Linked DNA regions of Lytechinus pictus. The protein of the gene in region 2 interacts with the protein of the main gene of each other region in a pairwise test. Links are inferred from orthologs where the notes say so. Each region holds a gene or a part of one and is shown on either strand. Other genes may lie near its edges.

The links.
Region 1: the proteins of ralBP1-associated Eps domain-containing protein 2-like (region 2) and ralA-binding protein 1-like interact in binary tests that used the Homo sapiens proteins (3 or more experiments, as listed by UniProt). The link is inferred for Lytechinus pictus from reciprocal best matches to the Homo sapiens genes REPS1 and RALBP1.

The regions. Positions count from the first base shown.
Region 1 is NC_087247.1:48,437,590-48,455,034, forward strand, and holds the start of ralA-binding protein 1-like, read left to right. Parts: upstream 1-10,479; coding exon 10,480-10,492; intron 10,493-14,887; coding exon 14,888-15,091; intron 15,092-15,717; coding exon 15,718-15,836; intron 15,837-17,051; coding exon 17,052-17,182; intron 17,183-17,445. Other genes in the region: ralA-binding protein 1-like, read left to right, coding at 12-319, 2,880-3,013. UniProt on the Homo sapiens protein: Multifunctional protein that functions as a downstream effector of RALA and RALB. As a GTPase-activating protein/GAP can inactivate CDC42 and RAC1 by stimulating their GTPase activity.
Region 2 is NC_087248.1:18,752,295-18,770,060, reverse strand, and holds the start of ralBP1-associated Eps domain-containing protein 2-like, read left to right. Parts: upstream 1-10,491; 5' UTR 10,492-10,709; coding exon 10,710-10,862; intron 10,863-12,682; coding exon 12,683-12,812; intron 12,813-17,766. Other genes in the region: uncharacterized protein LOC129258351, read right to left, coding at 1-173, 407-544, 1,181-1,299, 4,918-5,059, 6,525-6,650. UniProt on the Homo sapiens protein: May coordinate the cellular actions of activated EGF receptors and Ral-GTPases.

The DNA.
Region 1 (17,445 bases), on a different chromosome or scaffold from region 2:
CTCATTTTCAGAGGGAAAGGAAAGAAGAGAGGCAGCCTGTTCAGAAATCGCTTTGCTCCTTCTGCAAAAGCCAAACCAAAGGACAAAATGAAGGGCGATGAAAAAGATGGAAAGATAACGGAAGAGCGAAGACCAAGCAAGGAAAGGGCAAAGGAGGATAAGAAGTCGAAGGGTAGTGGAGAAGAGAAGAAGATTAAGGCAAGCAATGAAGAGAAGAAGGTTAAAGCAAGCAGTGAGGAAAAGAAGAGGAATAAAAGCAAGGAGAGAGAGAAGATAAAAAAAAAAGCTCACACCATTGATGTTCCATATGTTAAACCAGGTATGTATTTCAATCTCAGTGGCAGTGAATCGGTCAAGATATAGATCTCATTCCCTTTTAATTTTTTTTTTCTAAGAATAAAATTCATTGTCAGTACAAAGTTTGATTAAGGCAGGTAATATAAAACTCAGTGTATTGTTTACCAAAACTAAATTGTTATAAATTGTTCAACTACATCTTTTAGAATCATTGTTGAATGTTAATGTTCATAATAAAAAAAAAATATTTAACAACCTAGATTATCATATAACTGTTACAAACTGAACATTTTACAACTCTTTTTTAAAGATCATGAAGCACTAGGAGTGAGATGGAAATTGCTTGAATTAGTATATAAAGTTTAGATTATTCTTAGTCTAGGCAAGGATTGTGCAATAAAAACCTTTCAAAACACACAAGAAACACATTTTAAAGGAATCAGTAATGTTATTTTTTTTGTTAATCACAACCCTGGTCTGGGAGCCCATGGGTTCGGAGTAGTTATGGTAATTACCAATCACTTCTTGACCTGATAACCCAGAACATATAAAGTATATTGTCTTCATTCTGTTGGGAAATAATTGTATTCTGTTTGGTCGAATGCATTAAGGAAATTTGATTATTATTTGGAAATGAGCAATACATATCTCATTATGCAGGTTTCTAACAGCTGCTGTCCATCGTCACTAAATATGGATTGGAAATTTGTTTTATTTCCTTGAGAATTGTGGTTCTTGCTCCTTTTCTGTGTATGTCTTCTACTTGTTTGATTTGTGTTACAGACTACATGACCCTTCTTCCCACCTCGTTTTCCCCAGCTACCCATTCCTGTTTTTTTTTATAGTCGGTTTATATTATATAGAGAGCTCTACTCTGAAACCAGACATTAGCCAATCACAAGCAACTTAGCGGAAAGTCAAAGTTTATGTTAAATGCATGTTGTGTGGTAAAATCATCAATATTCGTGAGCAGTGCTATAATTCCAGCATAAGGCCTGCATACATGGAGTGTGAATTGCGTTAAATTTCTTGACGTTGGCTGAGAAAATATCGTGGGGGTTAAGAAGACAGTCTGACAAAACAAGAGGATTAGAAACTGTAGTCTAAAATCGTATGAACTTGATGGACAGTTAAATGTTTAGCGGTCATGATTAATCCTCATCAATTTCCGATGTTATGGTTTATTGCTGGAAATTATTCTAAATAATGGCTTGATGTAATGATTATTTCAAAATGAATATGAATTTTATAATTTTTTGGCTCTGTAGCAAAAAGTTGAATGCCTTTGACCTGCAGTAACTTGTAAGGCTTCAGGCATGAAATTTTAACATAATTAATTTCAGACAATCATTCATAAGTATGGCTCTCTTAAAGGCATTTAAAAACTGAATTTCAGTTATATTACTTTATTTATTTTATTTGTACATATATCCTCAAATCATGATTAATAATATATTTACATGGTTATTAACCTATTGCCCACTGAATTTGATAGTTCCCTAATAGGCTTTGTACAGGAACTGCCTGGTTTCAGAAGGCTTCGGGTTAATTTTGGGTACTGCACGGGTGTGACATGAGGGATTAGAAAATGGCTTGTCTAAATCTCAGCCTTCTATGCTTCTCAATATACATGTACCGGTATATCATTATTCATGTTATATCTAAGCCTATGATTCAAACTGAAGGAAATATGTTGTAATAGTTATTTTCATTATAAGTGTTGTTATACTGCCAAGTTACACAATATTCCTTAATTAACTCTGTTTACTTATCTAGCTGCTTTTATTTCAGCTGAAAATAATGTTGGTCATGATAGGCATGCACTTATCTTTTTGAAAGGGAATATCCATTTATTGTATTACTGTTGGAACACTTGACTTCCTACAGTTATTGCAGTAGATGGTGTTGTTGATTTTTTTTTTTTTACTTGATTGCTAAAAAGCATTAATGATTGCAAGCAAGCATTCAGAGAACAGACGGCTTAGATGAATTTGTTTGATATATTTAGTAGTGCCTGTATAGTACATTCATGAACTATGGTCACTATGGGTTATGTGGAGGGATATTTCTTTCATGTATGGTCACAATATGAATATGAAATATCAATTGGCCTTAAGAGATATGCATGTAGCTCTAATCTAGATGCATGCTTAGATTGACAGACTGAGGAAAGGAAATTTGACTTCAGATGCACTGCGGTAGAATAATGAGGAAATGTTAATTCATTTCAGAGTACTGTTTGGGGCTATTCTTTATTGAGACCCATGACAGACTAGCACAAATCTAGATTTCCTTGAATATAATTGTATTTGGGTTGAGTAATTTGGAAGCCAAACTCCTTGATCTCATAATATTCCCTTTCGTGTTTCCCTTTTTAAAACAATCATCAATTGTTTTAAGCTACTTTATACTCTTTAACATTTGCTACAAATAGACAAATTTGATTTGTAGACTTTTGTATCATTATTTATTGAATTTATTATAGTTTTGTTTCAAATGTAATCCGACTTCCATTTACCTAGTTTTAACTTCATTCATTTTTATTGTTCTTTTTTTTGTCTTTGTTATTTTTACCCTCTCAGAGCCAATATTTGGGGTACCTTTGGAAGCTGCTGTTGCCAGATCTAAGCTGTATGATAATGTTGATTTACCAAAGATCGTCAGAGAATGTATCGATTATGTGGAGGAAAATGGTGAGAATTTCTTTTTCAACTAGCATGCTCTTATTTCAAGGATAATATATTTGAGCCAAAAGGTAAATATTTGGATTTTCAATGATATTCCAGGATTCGGTGAATATTAATGAACATATTTTTTTTTTTGGGGGGGGGGGGGAGTTTAGCAGATTAATCTGATTACTTTTGCTAACAGAAGCCAATTCAGTAAGAATAATCACAGTTTACATTTACCATGATATCATCAAAAGAATTCTGTAATTAGAATGATTAGCCTACATTCAGCATTCGCCCCTCCAATGTTGTATGATGTACACTTAAAGTCAATTGTTTTCTACCGTCCTGTCACATACATTTTCCATAACTAAGATCATAGGATTTTATGAATTGTGACACCCTTTCCTCACCTCAAGTTCATTACAACAATATTCAAGAACCTGGTGTCATCTTTCCTTTTACAAGAAATATTTAACACTTAAGATTTCCCCCTTCTAACAAATGTGCCATATGGTTACACCCATCAATGTCTCTGAAGTGTGTCATATCTGAAAATAGCAATTCACCTTTAATGCAATATTACTCATAAGAACAAAATACCTACTGTTAAACCTTGGTTTATTTTAGAAGATACCAGGATAGTGTGACTTCATGCTAGTTTTCTTTTTCCTTTTTTTTAAACATAAATATTAAGGCACTATATTTCTTAGTTAAATTGAATTTTTTTACCAACTTATGCACTTTTGTAACTGCCGAATATTGACTTAGTAGTACAAGTAATTATGGTTTATTAGAATGATCATTGTAGCTGTAGGCTGCATTATAATCAATCTACAAGTTAAAAAAAGACATACCATCATAAAGAGTGATAAATACATGAATTACAATATTTCGCACTAAAAAATCACAAGATAAAGAATGAAGGAGAATTGGGACAGACAAGTGTGGAGAAGAAGGGCAAAAATATTAAGAATAATGGAAGGCGCGAGAAGAATATGGAGGATAGAGTGGAAAAGGAGTGAAAGGTATAGCTTTTAGAGAGGAAGAGGATACAGTTCTTCTCATGCTTGCAGGAGAAGAAAAAGAGATGAAAATAATTAATGGAGCTAAAGGGGAGAATAGAATAAGAAAAGAGAGAGAGGAGTTAGATAAATTATATAGGCAATCAACAGAAAGGGGGAAGGAAAAAATAGTTGTTTACATTATTCATGGTATCGTTTTTTTTTGTTCAAAATCAATATCAGCTTTCAAATTTCAAATTCAAAAGTTTCCATTATCATAGCGTCTAATTTGGAATAATGCACAAAAGGTAAAGAATATCAAAACAAGTTTCATCAGGAAGTATTTGGGTGATTGCAGAATATTAAAATTAGTCGGTTTGATCAAAGTATTATAAAATAAAAATACCGGTAAGCATGGATTGACCATGAACAGGCATGTTGTCGAACGTAAATGACTAAATGAATAAATATACTGCCTGTAAGATGAAATATCATGAATATTGATTGGATTATTTGATTCCTTCTTTCTTTTGTATGACTGGGATGGGATGGTATTTATGAACCTGGTGTTTTTTTAATGGATTTGTAAATTCTTGAATTGGCAATATATTTTAGGTACACTGCATGTATCTGTTATAAATATGTAAATAAGCAGAACAAATAGTTACAAACATAAAGAGAGTATAAAATGAAACCACTAATCAAAAAAGGAGAAATGCTAACATTAGAGTGATTAATAAAATACATTAATTATTAACATGTAACCTGTAAAGTAACGGCTTGCATATGCTATTGGCAATGTATCAATGCACACTGCCGGTGCCGCTGTGCGTAAATACATTGAGTGCTTGATTAACAGTTATATTTATGGATTGAAAATTTGTGTCACCAAACTACAGTGTTTATTTGTGATAGTATAGAAAGTAGAATAACAACCAGCTGGTAACCTCAAAAAGTAGGCAGGGCTGATTTTAGGGATTAAATTCAGATCCCAGGGCCAGCAAGGTTAATTGTATTTCAGAAGTTCATATCATGGACTGTATTATCAGTTTCATCGGTTATCTGCACACAGATGTGTCACACAAATCAAATATCGTTTCTCGCCATCAGTCAATTACGATGTACATGTACATAGTTAAAAGGGCATATTGAAATGGTCATTGAACTACTGTACATGTTTTTATTGAATGACAAAAGATGTTTAAAGATATCAAATCAAGGATACTTGTTGCATTTTTGATAATGAGACAATTGTTCTCCTGACAATTGTTTCTCCACTAATTTATAGATATAAGGGTAGGATTAGAATTGTGATAAGTTTTTGGTTCAGAATCAGATTATGATTGGGATTCAGGTTCAGGTTGGATTCAAAGCTTGGGTTTATGTTGACTTAATGGCCCGAATTAACAAAGTGGTTTTGAAAACCCACGGTTGAATCCATGGTTTATGCAGATTCCCTGTATAAATTACGCTTAATTTAGCGCGTGTATTAAAAATTCCAATGCTAATGCGCGCTTTTGTCACAGTGCGCCAAATTGACGCCTGTTACCATGGTTAGATACGCTATTTTATTAATGAGTCCACTGTTTGAAGAGTGGACTCATGAATAAACTAGCGTGGATAACCACGGCAACAAGCGTCAATTTTGCGCACTGTGACAAAAGCGCGCATCAGCATTGGACATTCTTTAATATACGCGGTAAAATAAGCATAATTTATACAGGAAATCTGCATAAGACATGGACTCAACAGTAGGTTTTCAAAACCACCTTTGTGAATTCGGGCCTATGTGTGTGCATTTACAGTAGGAGTAATTGTCGCAGGAGCAAATGTCATAAAACCGCATTTCTATACCCCGACAAACAAAGTTTGAAGGGGGTACATGTACATGTACAGTGTATATAGGAATCTGTATGGTTGGTCGGTCCGTTGCAAATCTTGCACATGAACTACTTCCTCAGTTTGAACTACTTCCTCAGTTTAAACCAGTTCTCACACATGTTGGTTTTGGGTAAAGATGTGCAAGACACATTTTTCGTATGAGTCGGAAATTGTGTTGCCATGGTAATAGCATATTATGGCAAAAATAAGGTGAAAATCTTGCGCATCAAACTACTTCCTCAGTTTTTTAACCAATTCTCATGAAATTTGGCACACACAATGGTCTTGAGGTGAAGATGTCCAAGACTGTCTGAATTTTTTTGTTTCGGAGTCTGCCGGTGTTGTGCTGGTCCGGTATCCTGATAAATGAATTCACGAGCGGGGAAGTACAAAGAAGTCACGGATTATACAATATTGATTTCATTATATGAAATCAATAATGTATAATCTGTGACTTCTTTGTACTTCCCCGTTCATGAATTCATTTCATTTTTAAACAAACATTCATTTAAAACAAACAAGAAAAATATTATGAAAAGACAGGAAAAAACTTGCCAATGTTTACGTGGCCATCTTGTTCTCTTTGTTAAAAGCAAAGCTACGAGACGCATGTAGAGTCTGCTGCCCTCTATATGCATCTTGTACCTTAGCTACTAACAAAGAGAACAAGATGGCCACATAAACATCGGCAGGTTTTTTCCCGTTTTCTCAGATTTTTCTCGATGGTCACCTGAAATGTAACAAAGAAACCTAGGTTATGATTGGTAAGACTTAATAAAACATACTCTATAATTTGTTATGTATTACATTGTTTTATCGGAATACCGGAATGGAAAAAACAATACTGGAACCCGTGCACATTGGACGGATTCCGGTATTCTGTCCATTCCGACCAAAGCCTAGTTTAAGCAAAGTTCTGTTTTTACTGTCTCTTGAATAGCGATGTAAGTGTGAAGGAAGATGAAAATATTGACAGCTTTAAGAATGAAAATAATTACCATGTCTGACAAGAGGAAAAATCTAGTCAGTAAATTGGCAATCAACACATTATGAACAGGAACAAAGAGTGAATGAAGAGGAGGAAGATCATGTTAATGATGGGGGGGAGTGAAAAGAACAAAAAAAATTCTGAAAACTGAAGTGTTAACTCATCGTTCAAAAGGGCCAACGACTGCGCGCATTACTAATGTTTTAATACTGAAAATACTGGATTTAGTATGATAATTCTATCATTAATACAATATTTTTGTGATACTTTGTCATCCCTTTAAGCTTTGATGAAAACAATATCAATAGTTATTACAGAGTGGGCGGGGGAAAGAGAGTGGTAGACGGAAAAGGGAGAAAGAGGGGGGGGGGGGGGAGGGTGACAGACATAAATATACAAGTATAAAGATATGGTGACAAACGGTAATTTCCAATTCGTCTATTGCCAACTACATTCATTTATTCTACTGCCATTCCGTCCAACATTTCATTTAACAACCATTTGGTCCAATCATCACTTCGTCTAATCACCATTTTGTCTCCTAATATCCATTTCATTTTCATTCATTTTGCACAATTTATACTTAGTTCAATTAGACCAAATGGTATATGGACTAAATGGCTATTGGACCAACTAGATATTAGATGGAATGGCATTAGACTAAATGAAAGTAGACTTATGTGGTGAGTGGACGAACTGATGGTAGACAAAATGATAGTAGACGAGTTGGCAATTGGATGAACTGGCATTAGACGAATTGAAAATAAACCGTAAACAGAAGAGAGAAGACAATTTCCCTTTTCTAGCTAAGGAACAAAACACAAATGAGGTCATGATTCTAATGCATAACAGGTGTATTCTACATCATTGATTATTTTTTTAAGATGTACTAATACCTAATTTTCAGAGTGTCTTTTGGAAAAAAAGATTTAGTAAACTGTATAAGTTTCAGGAGGGTGGAGATGATGGATGCCCCAATCGTCTGTTCCTTTGAAATTTTCAAGATTTCCTGTTAATCCCAAAATGCTTGTAGACTTTAAAGGGGAAATCCAAATATAGCCTTAACTGGGACATGACAATTCAAATCAGTCAGACAACTTTGTTGACTCAAAAGTCAAATACACACCAGAGTTGTGTCACTCAGTTTTTGGTATTCAATCTTTAAGTCTCTCTCTTACTCTGTTCCCCTCTTTCCTTTCTTGCCCTTTTATTTTCTCCTGTTTTTTGCTTGACCTCTTCAACCATATCCTTTTCCTTCACCCCCCCTCTCTCTCTCTCTTTTCCTGTACATGTATATCTCCATTCTCATTTATCTTTGCTGTATTTCTTGTTTAATTAAACTCAGATTTGTGGCTTTTTTCCAGATATGAAGCTGTACTTTTTATTTCTGACTCATCACCATATGATATGAGGCTGCGATTCGGTGTTTCCTATAAGTTACACATGTTTAATTGAGGTCATTCATTACTCAAAATGAAATCAAGGTCAAATTTTGGATGTTTGTAATATTATTTTTGTGGAAGTCTCCAACTCCAAGTGATACTACAAAGCACGACCAAACATTCATTCTACAGCAGAAGTAATAATAAGACTAATTTTACGGCAATTTAGATTTAGGAAGACACACTGAAATATTTCTAGAATAGAAATTGCAGGTTACTGCAGTACTTCACTTCTTCATTTAATGTTCCCTGAAAATGGGGGGGGGGGGATCCTGAACTGTAGTTTGATTGCAATAATTTGACAAATGTGCATACAGTTACACCATTTTCTGTTTTCCTAATCAATGCAACTGACAGTGTGCCATCCCTCATTTATTTTCCACTAGGGTTTTGAAATCTGATACTGAACATGAAGAATTTTTAAAATGTGGTCATGTACATTTCAAGAAACTTCACTACATGTAATTCAGTGATAGCCAAAATTATACAAATCAATTTGATGATAATTTGATTTTCCTCGAGACACCTGTTCATTTGAGAGAGTGGTGGCAGTCATAATTTGAGGCGAGGTAATTTCTTCATTCTCCTAGAAGAAATGCTGGAGGTTCTTTATGATATTATTAACAACTTCCTTAGCAATTATACACACTTGTCAGCTGCTGCCATCTATTGTTGAGGGTGGCAGTAGATATTGGACATAGAGGTATATTCCCCCCCCCCCCCCCCGAGGCAATGAATAATTATTTGCAATATTTCCATTCCTTGCAGATTTCATGAGAAGAAAACAGGCAGTTTGTGTGTGCAATATCATGACATGACATGGGAGAAAAATAGTACAGGGCTATTTCAAATTACACCCTGTTTATACTGATACAAACTACATGTACAATTACAAACATAATTTGAGAAACATCAGAAAAAATGATCGTAAATCAGAATTCCTTGATTATGATGCTTAGTTTTAGTTTATTTCATTTTTTTTTACAATAGTGTTCATTATTGATATATGGCATGTAATTTCATGTTTGTAACATTCATCCCATTGAAGACAATGTTATTTCACCGTAACTTTATGTTCCATATACCCCATTACAAGTTAACTTTCAATTAGTTTCCAACCAATTAATAACCCTAACATCTATAACTCAACCAATGCATTGTACTGATGTGTACATGTAGTATTGTTTATGTATAGGCCTGCATGCCCTTTACATGAAGGCTCTTTTTACCATGCCAATCATATAGCATAATTAGCAAGGCTATTTTTTTTGTTTACTACATGTATTTTATGGCTTACATATAGTCCGACCTACACAATGTGCATTAAGTTTTAATGAGGCCATCATTGTTAGTCATTGTTCAGTATATCAAATGGGCACATCAGGGCATAAAAAGCTGTCACATGTTTCATTACCAAACACATCCTAAAGAAGAATGTTGTGTTTCAATATGAATAAACTCAAAGTTCTATTACTTTCATATTTTCATCTTCTTGAATTGATCTTTGATATTTTTTCATCATCATTTTAATGTTTGTTTCATTTACTTTTTATTCATTCTGTATTTTATTCTTTTAATCATTAAATAGTTTTAATATCTTTCATTTATATTTTTTAGTATTTATTAAGTTTTTTTTTTTATGTGTTAAGTAATTGGGAGTTATTTACATTTTGTTTGTTTATTCTTCCCTAGTTTGAATATTCAATGTTTCAGTGTGCTGAAACATATAAATATTTGTCATTCATTTTATATACTGTAACGATTGTACCCCTTTTTATCAATTAAAATTAGGTGTTGACTAACTTGTCTGCAAGCTAATTATTTGAAGGCCATGTAATGTAGGAAATAAGAATTAAGATGCAAACTGACTTTTTGATCACAGCATCTCAAAGCTGTCCACTTTGGCCTCTCTCTTGTAATTCAAGCTACATAGGCCTTCATAAGCTTCCGTTTACTTGCTAGACTGGTGAAATATGATTCATTATTGAGATATATCAAAGATGAAAATAAGGAAGTTTGTCACAAAAACAAAAATACTTTCCATTTCATGAGTCATTGAATCTTTAAGTTATAATCTGGATTGAAGTATCAATATACAATGTTATATGCGCAATATTTATTTATTTTTGTTTATGATGTTATTTCATTGATCTTGATTTTCTTCACACTTTGCAAAAGAGCTACTTGATAGTATAAACATGGAGGTCCATGGTATAAAGGATGTCTAGTAATTATTGTGTATGTACATGAGAAAAAAGGTTTATTAAAATCATATGATATTTTTCAGGAAAATCAAAATAAGGAATCAAACTGAATTGTTGGAATAGTGAAAACTGAATGTACATGTGAAACACTTCAAATCTCCAAGAAAATTATGCAAATTACTGTTAGTCAGGAACTCAGGTCAAGTTGTTTGAATGCACAAATTATGTAGACAGAAAGAAGTAATATTTTGGCATGAAACAAAGAACATTAGTACCTATGCAAGGTATTTTAGCAGATCAATAAAAGTCATATTTCGCTCGCTACTTTCAATCCGAGACCGACGTGGTGAACATTTGCCATGTTGCCCTCCTCTTTGCCCATAGGAATCCTGTACAAAAACAGAGGGCAATATTGGCCATATTTCTGCTAGTGTGCTTGCACTGTAGGAGCCGATTTTGATCGCTAGTTTCAGTATTTGAGAAATCTGGCTGGAACCAGTTAATGAACAAACACATTGTTGATAATGCGCGGCGCGGCCAGTGCATACACAAACGTAACCCAAGCGCAAGATTTCTACGCGTTGAGTGTATGTGCGCCATGCATGATGCACGACTGCAATGTAACAATTACGTCACAATTGCTTATTAAGGGTTACTTCGCTAAAGTCGTGAATAACCTGAAATCAGAAATAGTGATGAGCAATCAGGCATATAAATTGTTCCAAATAGTAGCTTGAATTACACATTGTACAGCCTCAGGTAATAATAATAATATTGACTGGCTCTTCTTTCGGGAAACATCAAATATATCACCCTTAAAAGAACCATATTGGCCTCGTCTAAAGACTCAGGCCAATATGATTCTGTTGCGGGCGACATATTTGATGTTCCCCTCAAGGCCAGTCAATATTATATAAATATCTGTGCGGGAGCTCTTATTTTTGTCACACAAATCATGTATATTATACTTGTAAGTTTGTCTTCATCTATTCAAAGGTCAAGTCCACCCAAGAAAATTGATGATTTGAATCAATAGAGAAAAATCAAACTAACATAACGCTGCAAATTTCATCGAAATCGGATGTAATTTAAGAAAGTTATGACATTTTTTATTTCGCTTATTTTTCACAAAACAGTTAAAGGGGAAGTTCACCCTGACAAAAAGTTTATTGTAAAAATAGCAGAAAAAATAATAAAAAATATTGCCGAAGTTTTGAGAAAAATTCAAATAATTAAAAAGTTATTAGAATTTCAATTATTTGATTTGTGACGTCATATGCGAGCAGCATTCCTACATAGCGAATGGTAAAAAATCAATGAAATGTCATTTTCTCAGAAAATTGAAAATGGTTTTCACTGTACCTGTTGTATATCAATAGACAAATCATTCCACACCCGATCATGAATAGAAAACAAAATTAAGTCATCAGGAACCATATAAAATTTGAAATTCATGCATTTTATATTACATAACACATGGGGCAGCTGCTCGTTTATGACGTCACAAATCCAAACTTTGAACTCTAATAACTTTCTTACTCTTTAACGGATTTTCCTCAAACCTTCACCAATGTTTTTGACTATTTTTTCTGCTATTTTTACAACCAAGTTTTCTTCAGGGTGAACTTCCCCTTTAAATGCCCAACTCAGCAATATGCAAATGAGAGAGTCGATGATGTCCTTCACTCACTATTTCTTTTGTTTTTTATTGTTTGAATTATACAATATTTCCATATTTACAGATTTGACAATAAGGACCAACTTGATAACCATAAACTGATACAATAATGGTAATTCCACATGTTCAGGGAGGAATCAAATTTTGTTTCACATGACAATGAGGAGAAAATTAGAACTTTTCATATTTCATATAATAAAATACAAAAGAAGTAGTGAGTGGGTGATGTCATCAGTGTGCCAATTTGCATACCAACCAGGATGTGCATATAATTGTTTTGTGAAATTGAGCGAAACTTTAAAATGTTATAACTTTTTTATTTTACATCCGATTTTGATGAAATTTTCGGTGTTTTCCTTGTGGGATTTTTCTCCTTTTATTCAAATCAAATTTTTGTTGGGGTGGACTTGTCCTTTAAGGGAGTCTTTCCTAGGTAAATTGCCAGTTTGTCTACTGCCAACCGGTCCACTGACCACATGGTCTACTTTCATTCGATCTAATGCCATCCCGTCCATCAACATTTCGTCTAACAACCATTTAGTCCAATAACCATTTGGTCCAATCATCACTTCGTCTAATCACCATTTCGTCTATAACCATTTCGTCTCATAACCAGTTGGTCTAATATCAATTTCATTCTCATTCATTGTGCACAATTCACACTTAGTCCAATTAGACCAAATGGTATATGGACTAAATGGCTATTGGACCAACTAGATATTAGATGGAATGGCATTAGACTAAATGAAAGTAGACTTATGTGGTGAGTGGACAAACTGATGGTAGACAAAATGATAGTAGACGAGTTGGCAATTGGATGAACTGGCATTAGACGAATTGGAAGTAAACCTCTTTCCTCTATCCGTCTGAGTTTCATCATAAAGCAGCCATGAACATAAATACAAGGCTTTAGTTTAGAAGATAAGCCATCTAGACTCAAGGAAGGAATCAATGGAGGATATCTCTTACATCTTTGGATTTCATGAAGACATGAAATAGCAAGATTGGAGATTTAGTATTGTTTGCTGACTGTAGCAATACCATTATTGTAATCTTTGATGATTTTATTTAAATGCCCAAGTCATTTCAAGAATTTGTTATAGAATTACTTATTTATAGCTAGTCAGAAGCAACACAACGGCCTTTCTATTGCACAAATTTCTTAAAATCCCCAGAAATTATGAATGAAAAGTCAGCTTATCGCATACAGATCTTCATATTTACTTTTAATCATTTTCCGGTTGATAATTCTTTTTACTTCCAGCACTTTGCATGAGCTTTAATATTTGTCATAAATATCAAATGAATTATTTTTGAAAAAGTAATTCTTTGAATGGAAGAAAATGAAGTGATTCATTATGTTTTACATGTAAGTTTCTATCCACAAAGAATTTTGAAACCTTATAACCCTAGGAACTAGCAAATATATACCGTAAGTAACGGTGTATTAACCGCACCCGTGTATTAACCGCACCCCCCATTTTCGGATGGAAAAAAAAAAAAAAAAAAAAATCATTAAAAAAAAAAAAAATCATTAAAAAAAAAATTTAATCAAACTTACTTTCTATCTCTAATATGCGTATTTAAGAAAGAGTCAAGAACCAAAAAATATCGAAGAATTACTGGTAAAAAATGATGGGAAATCAGCGCTTCGTCACTTATCTGCAAGTTGCCGATATTATTGGCCAGTTCCACACTCCGAGTCACCTCACACACACACATATGGTACCGGTGTTCATTGCAAGTACCGATACCAGCATCAACATGGGGGCTCACCCATACGAGAAGATCGTTCATATCATATTTCCTGCATCACAGCCCCACTTTTGCTTTCAGAATTCTGTCTAGCATTCAATGTCTTGACATGAATTTTAGACAAGGGAATACGGGAAGGTTCAAGATACGAGAAATTTGCGATTTTGTTCAGGTGTTTTTCTTGTCTGCTTTGAACCACTACCGGTAGTTCTCAGTACGTGTGTGGCGGTGTCTTACAGACAGCAAAATAGGAAAAAAAATGCTAGTACCGGTATACCGTATTTTCAATGGGAGCTCTGGGCGGGAATAAAGTGAATAATAATTAAAAATAAAAAGTCGGAAGGAGTGAAGATGGGGATTAAAGATTGATTTTGAGATGATGGATGATAGAGAGAAATGAAGGAAAGGCAAATGAAAGAAATTAATTGTCAAATAATACCAATAATTTGTCAAACAAAATAACTTCCACGGAAAGGTAAAGCGCCAGCTTACGTTGACGTTGCGATAAACATTACACATGCATGTCTTATTCGGCTAGCTGCACCGCGCTGTGCGATCGATTGGCGTCTGAACTTTGCCGCGATGACTAAAAAATGACAACAAAGACAGAGTCACACCATTAAAAAAAGTCAGTTTCATGAAGGTAGGTGCGTTTGTTACCGTGATATAACTTTGAGGGACATTTACGGCAGATACCGGTAGTCATAGTTGCTTCCCTTTTATACCCGCGGCTCATACCCCTCTAAACGGGATTGCCCCAAGCGGCTACGCTCGGCCACCCGACGCGAGTTGAAAACTGGTAGTGGTATCGGGCTGAGATTGGCTTGGCTCAGACCTGTCACCGTGTATAAACCGCACCCCCGACTTTTGATTCTGTCCCGCCGAGAAAAAGGTGCGGTTAATACACCGTTACTTACGGTATGGAATCATGTCAGATCTATTTTTTCTTTTTATTTGTTATTTGCACAGGGTTAGCAACAGCCGGGATCTACCGTCTTTCTGGTGTGAAATCAAAGGTGGAGGCTTTGAAGGCCCAGTACAACAATGACGAGAAAGTGAACCTGAGGGACCATGATCCCACCGTTGTCACTAGTCTCTTTAAATTGTATCTCAGAGAACTGCCGGACACAATCTTGACTTCAAGATTTACCCCAGTATTTGAACATTCTGCAGGTACGTTGGCAAGACATGATTGGGAGGGAACAGATTATGTAAATTGAGAAGATGAATATCATTATCTGTTTGAGAGCGAGCTTTAATATGAACAGTCTCCATACTTTTTTAGGCTTTGCTTTATTTAGGATTCTGTAATTGACTATCCTGTTCCCCCATCATTGTGTCTTTGTAGAAATGAGTAGAGAAAGTAGAAATATATGTAGAGAATAAATGCAGAGCCAGATTCCTGCTTGTAGGCCAAAGTCATAGTGAGATTCACTTTTGCTAAACATCCCCAATATTACATTTCACCTTTAAAGCAAGTGCTTGATATTCAAGATGAATTTATGTAAATAAAGAAAGAAAAAATGACTTTTTTAATGATAAAAATTTATCAGACAGTTTTACGTTTAGCCAGTAAGATACAATGATTTCGCCAGTTTATGATGGTAGTTAGTAGCTGAAACAAGGCCCAGGGTTCCATAAACACAAAGTGTAAAAACTGATACATTTCACAACTGAATGTGCCCGATGCAATCAGTTGTGAACATTTTGTTTACTATCAACTTCAAATCTTTGTGTTACAGAACCCAGGTCTTTTCTGTTTACTAGTTTACCTTTATTTACCCAAATTCATTATCCAGGTCTAACCGCAGCACAAGAGAGAATAGGGGCATTCAAGAAGCTCCTAGCCCAGTTACCCAAATGTAACTACACCCTTCTTTCATGGACAATAGTCCACTTGGCTCATATATTAGAAAGGGTAAGAAAGAGAGTCATTCTAAAATTTAAAATCATTGCCCCAATCATCTTTTGATCTATAGCCTCAAACCTATTTACACTTTCTATGACATTTTGTCAAGATGATACACTCTGCATATATATGTGCTTGTTCACTAGTGATGCTGTGACTTGAAAGCAGAATGAAAATGTTAACATCATTATATTCTTTGGTAATCTGTTAAGTTCAAAGCATCGCTGGCCACTGAGCACAGATTAATGGTGCAGCTTTCTTTCAGTTCATTATTTTCCTAATAAAATTATTATTATTATTGTCTTGATTAAAAGGCATACATGGGGCGTGAAACTATAACTCAAACAGGCAAATATATTTATATTTTTCTTCAGGGGCTACTTTTCACAATTTACTTCCTAAATCTGCAACATTTAATAAGCTTTAACATTGCAAACAATGGGGATTTCCAGGGGAGCGTTTCATGAAAGGACTTGTCGGACGTTTTATCCGACAAGTCCTGTTTTATCCGACAGTTACCATAGTAACAGTGCCTCACAGCCAATCAAAATCAAGGAAAGATGTCAGATCTGACAACTTGTCGGACAAAAATCTTGATGAAACGCTCCCCAGGACTCCTTTTTTTTAGTTTCCAGGGCTCTACATTTTGGGGGCTAAATCGCCCCCAGCCCATGGAAATTTTTCCATGAACCGAAAAGATTGTTCAGGAGTGTTTGTCATGAATTCTGATGTGTGCTTTTTGGTGGAGAAAATGTATTAAATTCTTTTATTTTAATTGTTTAAGCTGTTTCAACATTACCTTTTAAACATTTCTATTTATAATCGTACAGGAAGACATATTAGGGTATCTAACAGCATTTGCCTTGTTTATAATTGGGAATAAATTTTCTATATTGACTTATTATTATCATTATCATTATCATTATTATTATCATTATTATGATCATTATAAAGCTGTGCATTTTGTTTCAGCCAAGCAGTTTGATATATTATATGATTATAAATGCCTGTAGCTATAGCTATAATTAAGGATAGATTTCTTGTGAGGTAAAATAATGAAATTGTGCTGGTTGAAGACATGATAAAATGTTTTTTTTTATGTATTCTTAGTCTTTTATGTGCTTCAGGAGTAGCTTTTGTTAAGGATCATTCCTTTTATTTCACAGCATGGTACTTATCCTCTTTAAGTTAATCATTGTTCCATGTTTGTTGCCAATTTGATAGAAAGAGGATACCAAGATGACAATACAGAACCTATCCATCGTCATGTGTCCTACCTTGAGGATAAGCCACCGTACTATGAACCTGCTATTCACGTATTGGAAGGAGTTTTTCAGTGATGTCAAACTCAAGAGGTATGTACACCATTCAATTTGTTTTATTGCCTGACATACTGAGGGTTATGGGTTCAGTCTCTGATGCAGTTTTGGCATTGTTTAGCTCGGCAGCCAAAAAAACATTAAAATCAAAATTCCAAAATATTACAAGAAGTTTGTGAGCTTTGGTTTCCAAGAAAGTTAAAACGAAATGATTAGTATAATGCCTCACTGTGCAGCCTATTTGGATGGGATTTGGAAATAATTCACAATAGATCTACTGTAACTACAAAGAGACACTT
Region 2 (17,766 bases):
TGCAAAGGGTCCCACGTGATGCCGTACAGCGAATTAGAAGGCGCCTTTGGTCGGATGGGGGTGACACCGGCATCGTTCGTGTTGGTCCTTTTCACAGTGATGGGTCTCCGATGCAAGTTCATAGCCCTTTTGATACTGACTGGAATACTCTCCCTTATCTCGTTATCCAGATCCTGATATCCAGTGAAAAATAATATCTTAGGCTTTTTTGTAAAAAGAAACGAACATTTGTCTTTATCGAAAATACATTGCTGAATCATGATCTGATTGATATATGATATTGATTAAGTATTAGTGATAATAAATAAAACATTCCCTTCAATGTCTCAGTGAATAGAACTGTCATTGTGCCCTTTCCTTTATCAAGAATCGTATCGTTGTGAAAATATCTTTAAATCTTTCTTACCTCGTCGTCGAGGAGCGATGTCGAGTTGGCAGTCTTGATTGCGATGTCGGAACATTGATAGAATATCTCCTCCCCTGCCTTGTGGCTCACATAGCGCATGCGTAGTACGCAGTGGTCACATGACACGTTCGGCATCACCTTCGTATTGAGAAATGATTCAACATCTTCAGAAGATCAGGAGGTAAACAGAGGAGCGTTTCATGAAAGGACTTGTCAGACGTTTTATCTGACAAGTACTCCAGACCTCTATCCGACAGTTACTACGGTAACGGTACCTCTGAGCCAATCATAATCAAGGAAAGTTGTCATATCTGACAACTTGTCGGGACGGAAATTTTGATGAAATGCTCCCAGTGCCCAAAAGGAGCTATTGTTACTACTATAGTATTCCATATTCACGAGTGCGTTTCCTTAACGATATTATTCACGTAATGGCATACTTAATAATCTCTCTTTGCGTTTCCGTATGTTATATCGATCTATCTAATATTAAGTGTCCCTTCCCCCATGCCATTTTCTTTTGACAACAACATTTTCAAAAATTATCTGCTACTCATTACCCGCCATCAGATGCAATAATAAGCTTCTTCTTAAGCAGTCACGACTTAACGTTGCGATTTTTTTTCTAATTTTCTTTAAAAGTTTAGAAGAATTTAATGTTTAAATCCATTCACATTGTTTATTCCAGCAATTTAAGATACATGAACGTGATAAAGAGGAATAAGTGGTCAAATCAATCATCGCATTTGAAAAAAAAATAAGAATGCAACTCACAACGGGAACCGTGTAATTTCGCTGATGTCGTTGAAGGTGTTCGTTTGTATCACCCAGAAGAGTAAGCGTTTGGAAATCTGTGGAGTTCACATTTTGGGCCAGCGAAATATCCATATAACCTAGAAGAAAATGTAAAAAAAACACGTTTTCCTTCTTGACTAAATTTAATAATAATAATAATAATAACGGCATATTTACCCAGGGTAGCCACTTCAGTTCCGAAAACTGAAATTTACATCGCATAATGTCCATCGTTTACATCGAGTGAAAATTCATGGAATATGAAAACTACTTCGCCTAATTTCGATACTTCCTTGATTTGATAACAGTCATATATCTTGTGATTCTGATCAGGACCCCGTTCATAAAGGCTTGTTATGATATCAAATACAGTGCTTCCACAACTTAAAACTGGAATTCCTTATTTGAGCTCCAAAATTTCCTTAAATTTGGACAAAATTCCTTGAATTAGAGTCTGGAGAAAACCTGTCTATATTTTTGCGTTACAAGCCTAGTTGTTTCACTGATCATGTAGAATGTTGCATACATGTATCAACAGAAAAATGCTAAGCCTTTAATAGTTGCTGTATGATCAGGCAGAGAAGAAAGTAAAGAAACAGAACTAACATCACTGTGTGCGCACATAAAATACATGTCTTAGCATGCCAAGGAAAAAGAAAGTATATAGCACACCAGCCAGCATATAAGAAAATTTAAATGTGTGTGTGTGTATGTGTGTATTTGAGTTTTGTCAGACGTGTATCAATCAGATATTATTATTTACGTCTGGGACCGACCTTTAACGTCACCGTCCGAAAGACGTGACCAGGGCTCGAACCTCTTAAACATTTTTTAGATTCATCATTATTTTTTTCTTTATTTTCCTCGAAATTCAATCAATTTCCTTGAATTCTCAGATTTCCTTGGATTTCCTTAAATATTCCTAAATATTCCTTGACTTTTTTTCATTTTTCCTTGTAATTCCTTGAATTGTCAAAATTCCTTTAAAAATTCCTTGTGGAGTCAAAAAATCCTTAAAATTCCCTAAAACAAGGAAATTTCCTTGCAAGTGGAAGCACTGATCAAATAGGCAATTTCTAAAAGAAAATTATTGTCAGCCAATCAAATTGATTTATTTCAGTAGCTTTAAACTGTTATTGTAAATTTGTTATCATAACAAGTTTTATGAAAGAGGCCCTACGTCCAAAATGGGCGGTTCTGAGGGGCTGAAAATCAGGTTGCATCTGATATTTGTTTTGTTGTTGAATTTGAATGCAACTTTTTCTGCTACACTTGAGTTCTACATTTCGGATAAAAAACGCGAGACATAGGACCCGTTTGCCAATGGCAATTCTATAACTGTGGCAACATTAACGAAAACTTTGGTTTTGGTTGCCGAGTCACATTACCATAACTCAAATCGCAGGCACCAGAAAGACAATGTTATTTCTTTAGTAAATTAAGTTCTTCATCTTTAAAAAAAAATTATAACATGATCTCAAAAGAATTGGGAATTCTGTCAGAGGGCTTTATGGTTGGTCCTATGACATTTGCTCCGGCGACAATTGCTCTGCTCTAAATTCCACGTACTAATCGAATGACCAACTTCAACCCTAGGTATTACTCTATATCCTATCCTAAACCTATAACCCTAAACCTAACATAAGCCCCTATTGCAACCCTAACCCTAAATCTTAGACGAAAGTACACCCGGAGCAATTATCGCAGGAGCAAATGTCGTGCCACCTTATGGGGTATTTTTATTGTACGCCAGTGCTTAGTGGCGGATCTAGGGATGGGGCTGGTCCCCTATCCCATGCAGCGGCGTAACAGAGGTCGGTGGCCAGGGGGGGCAAGAGCCAAAAATTTCCCGGTCATATATCATGGAACGGGCAATGGCGTCATAAGGCAAAAAGTTTGAGGGGGCGATATGGCGTATCGGGCAAATATATATATATATATATAAGCGAGCGAGCGAAGCGAGCGAGCAAATTTTTTTGACATTTTTATTGCAAAAATCCAATTTTGTGATAGATTTTGACATAATGTTAAAAAGATATCATATGTCACCCTCCTCTCTTACCGTTTTTCTCTCTTTTTTGTACGCCACGTTGAACAGGATTTTTGTTATGATTGTGAGCATCAGGGTGAAGCTCTATATGCTCGAGGGGGCCGAGTATGGCGCTTGTGGCAAGAAGTAGCTTAATATAGGTCCCGAGAGGGCGAAGCGAGCGAGATAAAAAATCACCTTTTCATGAGAATCTAACATGAAGATAGATTTTAACGTGATATTCAGAAAAATATAATACACTTTCCTTTCTTTCCTCATTTTTTTTGTTTGGTTGTAGAACTTTTGGGGGCCATGGTCCAAACTCATCCATATGACAGTGCTTTATGGGTGGGGTCCAGGGCAGAGCCCCGGAACCTCTTGATATCAAAGCCATTTTAAACCTTACAGATGGCCACTTATTTTAATCAAATTGCGTGTATATTTATATAGCTTTCACACAACACATAAATTCAATGCAGTTGTGTACTATCGTAACCATCCAAATATTGTGAGGGGCACACCATAGCAAATATGGGAAAATTTGTAAAAAGTCGTCAGCGAGCGAAGCGAGCCATAAAAAAATGGCCTGTTAAAATGAAATTCGAATTATGTGATCGATTTTTACATCATTATAGCAAATATCATGTCATATATTTTTTTTTCATTCATGTCATTTCGCTGCCTCCTTTATTTTCTTTTATTTCCCCTTGGCTGTGGAACCACCCCCCCCCCCGGTATGCCGGTGCTTCAACGTAAAGCTTAATGCAGGAAGGGTCCATATAGGGGCCCGTTATAGAACCCATTAAAGGTTACAGATGAAGAGCCCCCACTGCACGGGGTCTTGACTCTTGGACAGAGCGTTTGGAGATTTAGCAAGATTATCATACGACATTATGCTATATTCCATCCATTTTTCTTCCCGCTCGTTATCTCAATCCTCGGCAGCCCGGTAGTGTACGATATCTTGTCCCTATTCTTTATTTTCCAATTTAGATTTTGGCTAATTCCATTCTGCCTTTATATCCCGCTTTTGTTTGCCTTTTTGTCATCTTTAATTTATTTCCCTGTCTTACTAATTATGCTAATGTATTTGTATATCGGGGAGAATTGTTCTTTCTCACTTGTTCTTCTTTCCTTCCTTTTCCCGTTATCTTTCCGTTTTCCCTTTTTTGTGTTTTTTCTTAGTTTTCTTTTCCCTTTTCCTTTCCCTTTCCTTGCCCTTTTTTTTCTTTCCTTTCCCTTTCCCTTTCTTCCCCCCCTTTTTTTTTTTATTTTTCCCGTTTTTTTATTTTCCCGGTGAGCTCCGCCAGGGGGGGCAGCTTGCCCCCCCTGCCCCCCCCGCCTGTTACGCCACTGATCCCATGGAGGGGGAAAAACGATAAGAAGTGTGATAAAAATTTGGGAACCAACCCCTAGCGTCAAGAGATGGGGGTATTAAGGTATAATAACTTTCCCCCACCCTGAATGCATGATTTGGCTTGTCACTAAAGTTTATATGAGAAAATCTCCCTCATTTTGTAACTACCCCTGGTCAACCCCGGATCCATGCCCCACTATCCTGTTCTAGATCAGTCTTGAAAGGTGGTCCCAATGCAATGAAGTCTTCTGTCAGAGTGTTTTGTGATAGGTATTTTATGTTATTTTTTCATCTCATCCTATTAGTCCCCATGGCTTGATTCATTCTTACCTGGCAATCCAACTTCGTAATGGTTGAAGTTTTGTTGGAACCTGATGAGAGCGGTTTTCCCGCCCATGTACGTCATCTTTGGCGCTTCGGTGGGCTGACCTCCGCAAGGGCTTTGGTGCCGGGTACAGGTTCTACTTCCGGGCTAAATGGAAAACAATTACGTTGGTTAGTAAGTAATGATATTATATTAAAATAACAAATTGTATTCACCATGGGTAGCCACTTATTTAATCGGTTTTATCAAAAGAAGAAGATCATTTTGCGAGACAGTATATTTCCTTTTTATAGTGTCCTGATGGCAATCATAATTGTGTAAAAACTAAAGAGATTCAAGATTTGAGATCTCGTTAGATTTTAAAGTTCTTGGTTCTCTTAAAGATATAAATGTTTTTGTGATCTCAAATCTTGAATCTCTTTAGTTGTTACACAATTACGATTGCCATCAGGACACTATAAAAAGGAAATAATTATACTGTCTCGCAAATGATCTCAGAGGGCACTCTTTCAGTCAAAGAGTTGTCAATGACTGGAACAATCTTCCCGAGTCAGTGGTCACTGCACCTAGTCTAAATACATTTAAAAGAACATTGGACATTCATTGGTCCAATCTTCACTATGTAGCACGTGATCCATTTCTTTAGCGTACCCTCAAAGCTGTATCGTCTGTATTTCCCTAAGAAGAAGCGACCGGAAGACTTACAGGACTACCTTCTCTTCCGTATATTGCTGATGCTGATGATCTTCTTCTTTTGATAAAACCAATTAACTTATCAACAGCGAGATGGGTCGGCTTATTATACTCAACATAATGTATGTACACATCACCATCGCAATCATGTATTTCAATTATACTTGCAGTCTTGCAATGCTTTCAACAGACATAGTATTATCGATAGATGAATGAAAACACTTCAAACTAAAATAAAAGCTCAAGACATAGAAAATGGAAATTATTGACTTTTTCTATAATGGACATGTAAAAAATAACACTAATGCTGCTGCTGCTGATGATTAGATGAATATCTTTAAAGAAAATAAAGGAACCGAAAAGTAGTTCATTGTTTTAGAATTTCTTTTCATTAACAAAAGAAGAAAATGGGGCACTTTTCATAGAGTGGTTATTGTGGTAAAAGGGTTGGGCACGTGCATCCCCACCGGGTTCTCACATTACCCTGCATGCATTATCGTTCATTCTTAAACAAACCAGTTAAAAGCGACATGATGGAGGGGGCATCGGAAGGGGCATCTGGGTACAATTATTAACTGTTATTTTCCTAATATTTCACTATTTTCTAGTCAAATCTTACTATAAACACCGTCATTTCTGACTAGAATACAGTAAAATTATGACAAAAGCAGAGGCCGTGGAACGGTTTCAAAAGTGGTGGTGGGGGGGGGGGCTGAGCCAAATGTGGGGGCCGACCATGCACAAAATCACACAATGTTCATTTTTACGTTTTTGTACATGGTTTTGGAAAAAAATGGGGGCTGAAGCCTACCCAGCCCCTCCCCCCCCCCCCGTTTCCGCGGCCCGTGTAGAGAAAACAGTTGCGGCCCGTTTGATCTGACGAATGATGGCTGATTTGTTTTTATAGTGTATAACTTACAGTCGATATATCGAGATCTCCTCTTTGTCGAGGAGTTATAATGCAGAGATGACCGTCTGAATCAGTTACTAGCACCGTCAAGGCAATCGCTAAAACATGGCACAGTCTCCGCGACATGGTATCCATTTTATTTCATCAAATTATTTCCGTCAGGGAGTTCGTTCCAGAAGAAGTTTTAAACTTATAACCTGCTAAAAGGTAGAGTACAGATCGTAGTGCCACTATATTCCGCCGAGTATTATGCCAAAACACACAATGTCAATTTTCTTGGCAAATCTGTCCCGCGTGGTGTTGACGAAGCTATCCAGATTAGAAGTCGAAATCAAGGCTAATTTGGATTAATGAGAGATTAAACCGGTATATCACGCAACAAAACATACATTGATCTGTTGATTGTATTGTCAGTTCCTACATGTAAAACAGACTGCACGTGACGTGCATAGCTCTATAAATTTTCAAGAGATTCTCTAGTAGGGGCCTCTGATATGCGTGCTGAACACTTACTGTTAAATAATGCCGCACAGAACAAAGTAAATATTCCAAAGTTCTAATAATCGCTGTATTTTTTCTATTGATGGTGGAATTTGACTGAACGAATGAACGATAATGCTTTGTTTACATCCGTTGTTGATTCAGAAACTATAAAGATTTTTGCTTCATAGAAATTGTTTGATAAAGTATATGTGAAATAGGGAGAGGTTGGGGAAATATTTAGAGCGAAAGAATATTGATACAGTGTCGGAGACAAAGTTACAGTATATATATTTACAAAATGAAAGGAAATAAAGGTTAGAGGCACTAGCGTACCTACGGGGGGGGGGGGGGGGGCAGAGGGGGCAGTCTGCCCCCCCTGACGAGCCACAACCCATGCAAAGGACGTATCCCTGCCCCCCCCCCCCCCCCCTGACGAGCTTGAAATACCTTTTTTTTTTTTTTTTTTTTTTTTTTTTTTTTTTTTTTTTTTTTGCTTGTCAAATTCTTTGGCGGACGGTTTTGCCCCCCCTGTGAAAAATCCTAGGTACGCCACTGGTTAGAGGTGAAAAGAAAAAATGGAAGAATGACTGAAAGAGGGGGGAGGAGGAGGAGAAGAAGAAGAAGAATTAAGAAGAAGAATAATTAAGAAGAAGAAGGAGGAGGAAGAGAAGAAGAAGATAATGAAGAAGATGACGAAGAATAATAATTATAAGAAGAAGGAGGAGGAGGAGGAGGGGGAGTAGATCAGGAGCAGGAGATGGAGAAACAAGAAAAAATGATCGAGGGGGAGGAGAAAGCACCGAGAGTGCAACAAAACTATGGTTCGGGAACTTTCATCTGTGTACATAGACTTTTTCATGAAAATAACATTTGTTTGTTGATTTTCTCAAAACAATGTCAAAGCAAATTGCTCGTCGCATCCCACTATGACACGCCCACTTTTATTGTTTGTCACGTGTATACATTGGTCACATGACAGCGAGGGGTCGTTATTACCACTTGATCGCAAAATGAAGCACCTGACATGTTATTACCACCACCCCCGTAGCTGGAGCTCAGAGTTCACGATGACAGATTATTTTAGTAATCATGATGATAGCAAATTTCTTACCATGAGAGGGCGACGTCATTCTTCAAACGGTGTACGGATAGGATCTGCCCGCACTGGTGTAATCAGTGAATCAAAAAATATATCATATGGAGTAAGAGAGCGGCAAAAATTAGATCTTTTACAAAAAAAAAAGAAATATAATTTTGTGACAATGTGGGGTACATCAATGTTATAATATAAAGCCGATCCATTCCATTAATTCACTGATTTTGTTTCTAATATCACCATCATCACCAGTCATCACCATTGTCGTCATCATTTTCATCATTATCATCATCACCATCATCATCATCATCATCTGCATCATCATCAACTGCATCATCATCATCAGCATCATCACCATCTTCATCATCGTCATCACCATCATCATCATCATCATCACCATTATCATCATCATCATCATCATTATCATCAATACCATCATCATAACCATCATTAGGTATGATTGACATAAATTCTAGATTGAAATCACTCACACTTTCCTGGTTACCAAAAATTGTAAGAGGGGATGAACCACCATGGAAATATATTTGTGAGTTTTGGTTACATAAATTAGGCGGTATACCATTATCCATTCTGCTCTCCAGTATAGACATGATTAAATTATGCAAATAAAATATTCATTACCCGGCTACATTTTATACAGACTTACTTACTTTATTGGCTGAACTTCACTTGAAAATGAAATCATATGGAATAATTAAAAACATGAAAACAGGTTATTGTATTTCAGAAAATGGTCCGATAAGGGTTTAGTAAAAGTACGCCATTTAATTGAAAATGGATCATGGAAAAACTCCGAAAGTATTACAGACCTACTGTCGATGAATTCTCTTTGTATCTTATTTCAATATGCTAAAATTAAAACCAATTTTCCAACATATTGGTTCAATTAGTTGAACACTGCTCAGCTTGAAAATCACGGTGATCAACGAATACAAAACGATAAATTTATTCAAATTAAAACCGGTAACTCAATTGACATTACAATATCAAAAACAATTCTACACATATTTTGTAGATTAAAAAAAGAATTTACACCCAATGGTGTTATATTTTTGGCAAGATAGGCTTTCACTTGCAGAAGATTATGATTGGAGCAAATTGCTGAAATTTAAGTTTGGAAAATTACTTGATAACAGAGTTAAACAATATAATTTCAAATTGCTGCATCGGATTTTGCCGTATCGTAAAGAGAATTTAGTTCGATGGAATATCACATCAGACATGACTTGTATAACCATTGTAAACAAATTGAAACTCTAGATCATATTTTGTTGCATTGTCCACATGTGAATTTATTTTGGCAGAAACTACGGTATTTCATTAAGATCCAGTCTAATGTGAATATTCATAGAAAACATTATTGATTGGCCACGATGTTGAAAATGAAAACATGGCTTTTCTGAACGTAATTTTGGTTTTCGCACAATACACGATTTATAGAGTCTATGTGTTGGCTCAGTTCACTTTAAAAAAATTCAGTTATTTTTCTATGTTGTCAGATTTTAAGAGAGAATTAGTCATTAATTTGAGATTTCTTGAAAAGAGTAACAAGATAAAAATAACAGAAAAACAGTACAATGAAATCAAAAGCTTGTGAAAAGTGAAACTAATTGTATATATTGTTTGTGTTTGTTTATTCATTTCAATGTAATAAATACCTCTCAGATAAGGACAAAAAAAATCATTATCATGATGATGATCATGATCATCATCGTCATCACAATCATCTTCATCACCATAAAATAATGGTGTAAAGATATTATCGTTACCACCATGATTTTATTACCATTATTTTTTTGCAAGTTGTATTTGTGACCACAGCCATCATCATGATCATGGATAATCATTTTTTCCATAAAACAAGGCATCGTCATAATATCTCTTTCATTCTCCCTGTTTTAACTCATTTTGATCCACTGCATGCGAATCCTAGATTGGAAAGGCATTAGTCAAATCAATTAGCTTGAATAATTTTATTACCACTTTAAAAACTACTCGGGGGGGGGGGGGCATCTATTGATATTAATAAAGGTAAATGATTATACTTATACCCTGTATCATGTAGATATATAGTCCTATTCTGTTTGAAGTTAAAGCAGCAACATTGTCATCACTTATGATTGAAAATGTTTATTATGCTTTGACAGATAGGCCCACACCCCGCCTAGCTAGTACACCAAGCGATATTTTCATGATTTTCAAATTACAATGGACCCAGTTGTCCTTATACACCCTTCTGATCGACTAGTAATTATAATTTGTTCGCTTTGATAAACACATTTTTGAGTATCCTCCCCATTTGTAAGATTTTGTTGTTATTTACTTAAAAAGACCAAAACTTCATATCAACTGAGATTCAAAGTTCGAAAGGAAGATAGCCAGACTGAATTAACATCTTTGTGACTCATCCGGGACTTGTTCTGACGTCACCGACAATATGGCTGCCATCAGTGATGCGAAAGGAACGAAAAGGAGGGTGTGATTACCCATCAATTTCTAGGTTTTCGTGATATTTACATAAGGTTTTACAGATTTTCAGCCTCTCTCTTGTTTCCAAATTCTTTAGGCCCTGATTTCGAATCTTAATATCAGCCATGGAGGGTTCTTTCTTGAGTCCCGCAGAGCAGCAATATTACCCCGAGCTCTTCAGCAAATCCGACAAGGAAAGCTCCGGGCGAGTGGCGGCCCAGCGAGCGATGAGTTTATTCAGGTTGAGCCCGCAGCTCTCGGACGACGTAATTCAGAGGGTATGTCGGAACTCGGATTAGTCATTTACCTTTAAGTTTGTCTAGTTTTGACTGTTTGTTAATGTTAAATTAATATATTTCGATGCATATTATTTTCAAAATTGATAACCATGTTACTAAATCAAACCGATTGAACATGATCAATGTCATGTCTTGAAAACTGAAACTTGAAAGTGATGATGAACATGACGACGTGACTGACGTCTGAACGAAGCCAGAAAATGTGGAGATCATTTTGAATCATCACACTAGTAGTATGAATCATGTGATGTGATGAGTATACTAATGTGTTAGTAAGTATTAGTATACTAATACTAACCTCGCAATTAGTGTGAGTGGATGTGATGTGACTGTAATGTATGTATGAAATCATTTCTAGTGGTTCTTTTTTCAGTTATATTCTCAATGTTTAATTACTTCAACATATTCTTCATGAAGCAGTTTAAATTAATTTGGACTTTTGTAGCTAGTCGAATCTTAAATGGCAAAATGCCAATTTTTTAACCCCTTTTTTTAGCAAACTAATTTGGCTGCCACCAGTTGCAGTTAAAGCTCTATTGTTAGTCTGTATAACTGAGGAGAAACAAAGAATAAAAAGGTTTATTTATTTCAAAACAAAACAAATTTCAAAAGCTAATTTGTGGAAATTTTTGATTTCAAGAAAAGAGAAATTAAACCCAGATGAAAGTTTTGCTTGTCCCTGTTTAATGCTAAATAAGATACCTCAAAGTCTTGGTTAAACGCAATGGGACTTTTGCATTTCAAGATATTGAATTTTTCCATTCTCATGCTTGTTATCTGTAGGAATATAAATTATCAAGGATAAAGCTACATGGATGCACCACTCATTTGCACATCAATTTTAATGGATAAATGTGCACTTGCAATTTATGGAACTGTGACTGCATTGTGACAAAGAATTCCCATTCAGACTTACTACAGTACAGTGGCACCAATAAATAAATCACAAAAATGCATAAAATCATGCAACTATTTCCAGTTTTGCAGAGCTCTCTTGAATTTTTTTATTTTCTTTCAACAATATGGCCGTGTTTGAAGCGCAGGAAATGCAATTTCCTGCACCCCTTCCAATGCCAACAGTAAAATCAGGTGTTTAGGAAAACACAACTGGATTTTCATATTTAGAATCTTTAAAATATTTACCACAAATTAGAGTTTAAAAATCTGTTCAAATACTAATATTGCCATAGTTTTATGTTTTGTAAACAAAGAATGTAGCTTTTGGTCCCTCCATCATGTACGAGAGATTGGATATCATCATTAGCTGGTGACTTTCTTGTTTAGCACCTGACTGATTGTCTCCATTCTTGCATGAAGTTTTGCAAACAATAACTGTATACAAATTACAAATAAAACACTACCTCTGAAGCCAACGGCAAGGCGGGCAAGCACATAATATCTTCAAAATTTTCAAGTCATCATGCAAGCAAAATGGGGAAAATCTAGGAACCAATTGGATAGTATATAGTAGGCCTATTCTGATAATTAATCCTAGGTTTAACCCTAGTCTGCACAATACATGTAATTTTAGTCTTCACTCTCATGGGAGATTCCATATGTCTGGTAAAGATGATATGTGTAACATATAAAGTCATTGATTTAAAAAAAAAAATGTTTTCTCTTAATACAACAATACTAATTTCAACACCTTTTTTGCTGGAGGATTAACATAATTATTTTCTTTAATGAATGAGGGTTAATAAACCATGGCTATCGGAGTACACCCAATGTATTATGTGATTGTTTAAACCATGTAAATCATGGATTTATTGTCTTAAATTGTATGTATTTCAATACAGATTAATGAGCTGTGTGGAGCAGGAAGGTTAGGTTACTACGGCAGGAGTCAGTTTTATTGCGCACTCAAGATGATTGCAATGGTGCAGAATGGTCTTCCTCTCCCTAATTCTGTGGATTTTGTCATGCAAGGTGAGTTATTCACTGTTATTGTGGTTCCAAGACATTTGCTCTGGCGATGATTGCTCCGCTTTGAATTTGACACACAGATGGAATGACCAACTTCAACCTTGGATTGAACACTATACCCTATTCTAAACCTAACCCTATTCTAACATAAAACCCTATTGCAACCCTAAATATAACCATAACCCTACATCTTAGACGAAATAAAGCCCAGAGCAATTGTTGCAGGAGCAAGTGTTGTGTCACTGTTGTTGTTGCCTTTTGGAACCGGATGGTCCCTACAGGTACTAAAATGGGAATTATTGAATTCAGAAGTGTACATGTAGGGTCTGTATTCTCAAGTCCAGTTTAACTTTAAAAGGCCATGGTCTAACTCTGTGCTTAAGTCATGGAAAGCTGAAAAATATTAAAATTTTATTTAAATCAGGTTTCCTTGTTTACTCAGTTGTTTCTTCCTGCTTTGTTGATGAACAAAACAATTTTTGTTGTTATTCCCAGATATTGATGTATAAATGATTTGAGTCTAAAGTAAGCTGAGAGATTGAGCTTGCAATTACATGTATGTTAAAAAGATTTGTGTAATATCTGGCTCTCCATTGTCAAACCATTGATGGATCTTGGGCGGGGGGTGGGGGGTGGTTAGGGTTTAAACCCTCACCTCGGGCTACCTAGAAATAATTAAAAAAAGGAGTGCGATATCAAACTCCAACGCCCCTTCCCTGTTTACGAGTCATGCAAGCAGAACAGTGGCGGATCCGCCAAGTGCTGCAAACCACAACTTTAGACCAGAGATTGAATTAAACCAGAGTACAGGATATGGGTCAATGGGTTGAATTTAAAATACCCAAGTCCTGACTTACCACTCCTTGTCTATTTTTGGGTACATGCATGTACATATAATTATGTACATTCCATTTCTCATTGGCACCCAATATTTCTGTTTTGGCCAAAATGTTAAGTTATCATTTTTGGCGGTGTTTTATCTGTCTTTGAGATCCTCATTAATCTGGCACATTGCTCAATGTACCCCTCCCCTACATGTATCTCATGACAGACCCCTCCCCCTATCATCTGATTGTAAGCTGTCATTTATAGAGGCTTCCCAGATGATGTAATTGAACCCCCCCCAAAAAAAACTCAAGTGTACACTTTGAATTAAATGATTTATTATAATGTAATGGTTTTTTTTCATGATGGGTATACTCATGAATTCCTGATATCTCATGACCCCTTATAGAAATTCTCAGAAGTCCAAAGAAAATGTGAGAGAGAGTGGGAGAGAGAGAGAAACACCCCTTTAAAAAAAAAAAATGTCTGAGTCTGTTTCGGCAACTCCCCTTTTTCTTAGGGTAGGTTTGTGGCATGAAAAACACATGGACAGTTGAAATGCTATCATAATAATATTGTAGCTTTATATTAATTGATTCCTATAAAAAAGAAATTCCAAGCTTCGTGGAAGCACCATGGTGTTGTGGTTTTTGTACTTGTTTTGGCTGGTATATGTTCATTTGCTTTCTGATGATCATAGAACAATGTACATGTACAATACATGTATACAGTCCACATTCATTCCTCATGAATTCCTGTAATTTAGAGCTTTGCATCAAATTGATGGTAAATTGCCAAATTTTGTCTATTGCCAACTCGTCCATTCATCACATGGTCTACACTGTACCTGAATTTAGTCAAATGCCATTCCGTCCATCAACACTTCGTCTAACAACCATTTGGTCCAATAACCATGTGGTCCAATAATCACTTCGTCTAATCACCAGTTCGTCTATGTCCATTTGGTCTCATAACAGTTGGTCTGATATAAATTTTCTTTACATTCATTTCACCCAATTAACACTTTATATTAATCCAATTAAGCCAAATTGTATATATGGACTAAAAAATGGCGATTGGATGAACTGGTTATTAGACAAAATGTTGAGTGGATGAAGTGGCAATTAGACTCTGTGGATACAGTAGTGGACGAACTGATGGTAGACCAAATGATAGTAGACGGGTTTGTGATTGGGTGAATTGGCATTGATTAGACCAATTGAAAATAAACCAAATTGACTAGGAGGACTTCTCAGAAATTAGAAATGGTGTAGTTTTTCTCACTCTACATACTGACTATAATATTAGGGTAGTCAGTCAGAGGATCATAAATTCCACTAGTCATATGAACAATTGAGGTGAGCAACTGTATTTTCTTAAAGGTGAACCCAACCCAAATAAAAACTTGTTTTCATAAGAAAAATAAATATCAGACAAGTTGATAGGTGAAAGTTTGAACAATATTGGACAAACAACAAGAAAGGTATGAATTTTTAAAAGTTGTAAATATTGGTAATCACTATACCCATGGAGACTTCAAATTGGCAGCATATGGGATGTCATAGTGATGTAAGGCAAGGACTACTCTTCCATGTACTCCAATACATATTATGGCTAAAATGTCATTTTTCCCAAAAGTTTTATTTCAAATTATATTTTTCTTTCATGAGGACATAAAACAATATACTACCTGGGTTATATTTAGATTACTGCCCCCATGGGAATGGGTACTTAGGAGAAAACCACAAATCCCTGATAATAAAGTACATGGCCTATGGGAAAGTTGTCCTTGCCCCTTGTCATAATTTACTTACCCAGTTGCCAATTTGAAATCTACATAGTATTAGTGATCTCAATTTTAAAGCAGCTATAACTTTCTTATTGCTTGTCCGATTTCTTTCAAACTTTCACCATTCTGTTTAATTTATTTTTCTCATTCCCAACACATCATTCAATGGCCAAGGCTGGATTACCCTTTAACTTTGCCATAACTTTCTTGAGGTGTTTTCATACTGAAGGCGAAGTGGAGTTACTCTGGAGGAACTCCGGATTGAGTTGATGTGCTTGTACTGCGGACCGACATTACACCCCCTTTCAAACTGGCAAGCTCTGCAGGCGGCAGCGGTGTATCCGCAGTCGTTTCCGTGGTTTCCATTAAGTGTGGCGCGCCAAAACTCCTCCATGAATTAAGTTTTTTACGTGCGAGATAGGCGATACTGCGCTTCTGTGTGAAGTTGGTTGAGTATTCCGCTTTGAATCTGGATTGAAATAATCCTAGAAAGTGGAGTAACTCCTTCTGGACTCCGGAGTAACTCCATTTCGGCTGTCAGTATGAAATCGGTATAGAAGATGCATCAATAAACAATATTGTGCAGTGTATGCTAATTATACCTACTGTATATACTGTGATGATGAACCCCGATAAATTTAATGAGAAATATACTGTAATAAATACTAATCAATTAATGACAATTACCCAAATCGTTGAAAAATAGCATGTAATTGCAATGCATGAATTTTTCATTAAAAAAATGATTGAAAAGTTGATTTTTTTTTAAGGTCTGAAATTCAAGACTACCCGTATATACAGTACGTCCCAGAAAAAACAAAACTGAGATTAAGCGACGATTTATCATAACTTAATCACAAATACAATAGACAAATGACCTACCAATGTAAAGCTTAGAATCTCCTCTTTCATCTGATATAAATGAGATTATTCCTCATTCACGCATGAGTGAACAAAAAATCTGAATTTCAAAAAGAAAATCACATGCCAAAGAGTTCAATATCTGCTCTTTCATTTGATACCTTAATCACAAAAAATGGTCAAGAAGTAAAAACGTTATGTTCCCTCTAAACAATGCTTGTATTTCCATAATTTTTATTAAATAAACGTGTTTTCACCGGTTTCCAACAGAAGCTATCGCATGGTTAACAAAAGACTTAATGCATGGCTGATCATCAACAAAACGGAGTGTTGAGTGAGTTTGAACCCTAGCCTGTAAAACCTCTTCATTTTATGAAATTATTGAAATTCAAGCCTTATTTCAAATAACCAGAACTTTGTTATTTCTTGACCATTTTCTGTAATTGAGGTATCAAATTAAAGAGCAGATATTGAACTTTTTAAAAATGTGGTTTTCTTTATGAAACCCAGATACAGCCCGCCAAATGACTTTTTGGTATCCCCTCTTCAAATTGTTTTTGCTCACTCATGCGTGAAGGAGAAATAATCTAAGTAATTTCAGATGAAAGAAGAGATTCTAAGCTTGACAATGGTAGGTAATTTGTCTATTGTATTTGTGATTAAGTTATGATAAATCATCGATAAATCTCGGTTTCGTTTTTTGTGGGACGCACTGTATAAATAATCAGATTGCATTTTTTATGGGCATTCCAATGATGCTATAGAGCAACTACTTGGTAACCTTGAATATAAGAAAAGTGTACATACATGTACATGTATGTATGCAGCCAAAAATGAGGTGAAGCTATCAGTTTCATCTTTATTCATATTGTACTTTAATATCGAAGAAATTATGAACAGTAGACAATTTCCTCACTTTTTGCATAAACTGTACATGTACTGAAAGAATACAAATCACTGAAACCACTTCAATGCTCATTAATGTCATTAGCCCCTGGGACTTTGATCCCAATACTTATTACATGTGTGAAATTTGTGTGTCCTACAGAGTATAAATTGATACAGACATTAATGTTCCTTTGTGTACATGATAGAGAACATTGTACTCAAGTCAATGCCACTTCTTGTGTGATGAGATGTACATTACATGTACACTACATTTTCTTGTGAAGCTTTTTGAGTATTGTAGCCCAATCCTTATTTTTACTATGATTTTTTCAAATGAAATTGTGCTTTTGCCTCAATTTCTTTAAGCATTTGTGTGTGCGTGTGTGTGGGGGGGGGGGGGGTGGGTAATCCATCTATAATCTGATTTTCTTTCTGAGTGAATTATCAAAATCAATCATTAATTGATTGATGACTGTATAAAAAGGAACGAATGAATTGATTAATTAATAACAAAGTATTTTTGGAATTGAATTGATGAATGAATAAAGAATGAATGAATAAATAAATTAATGAATGAATAAAGAATTGTATATT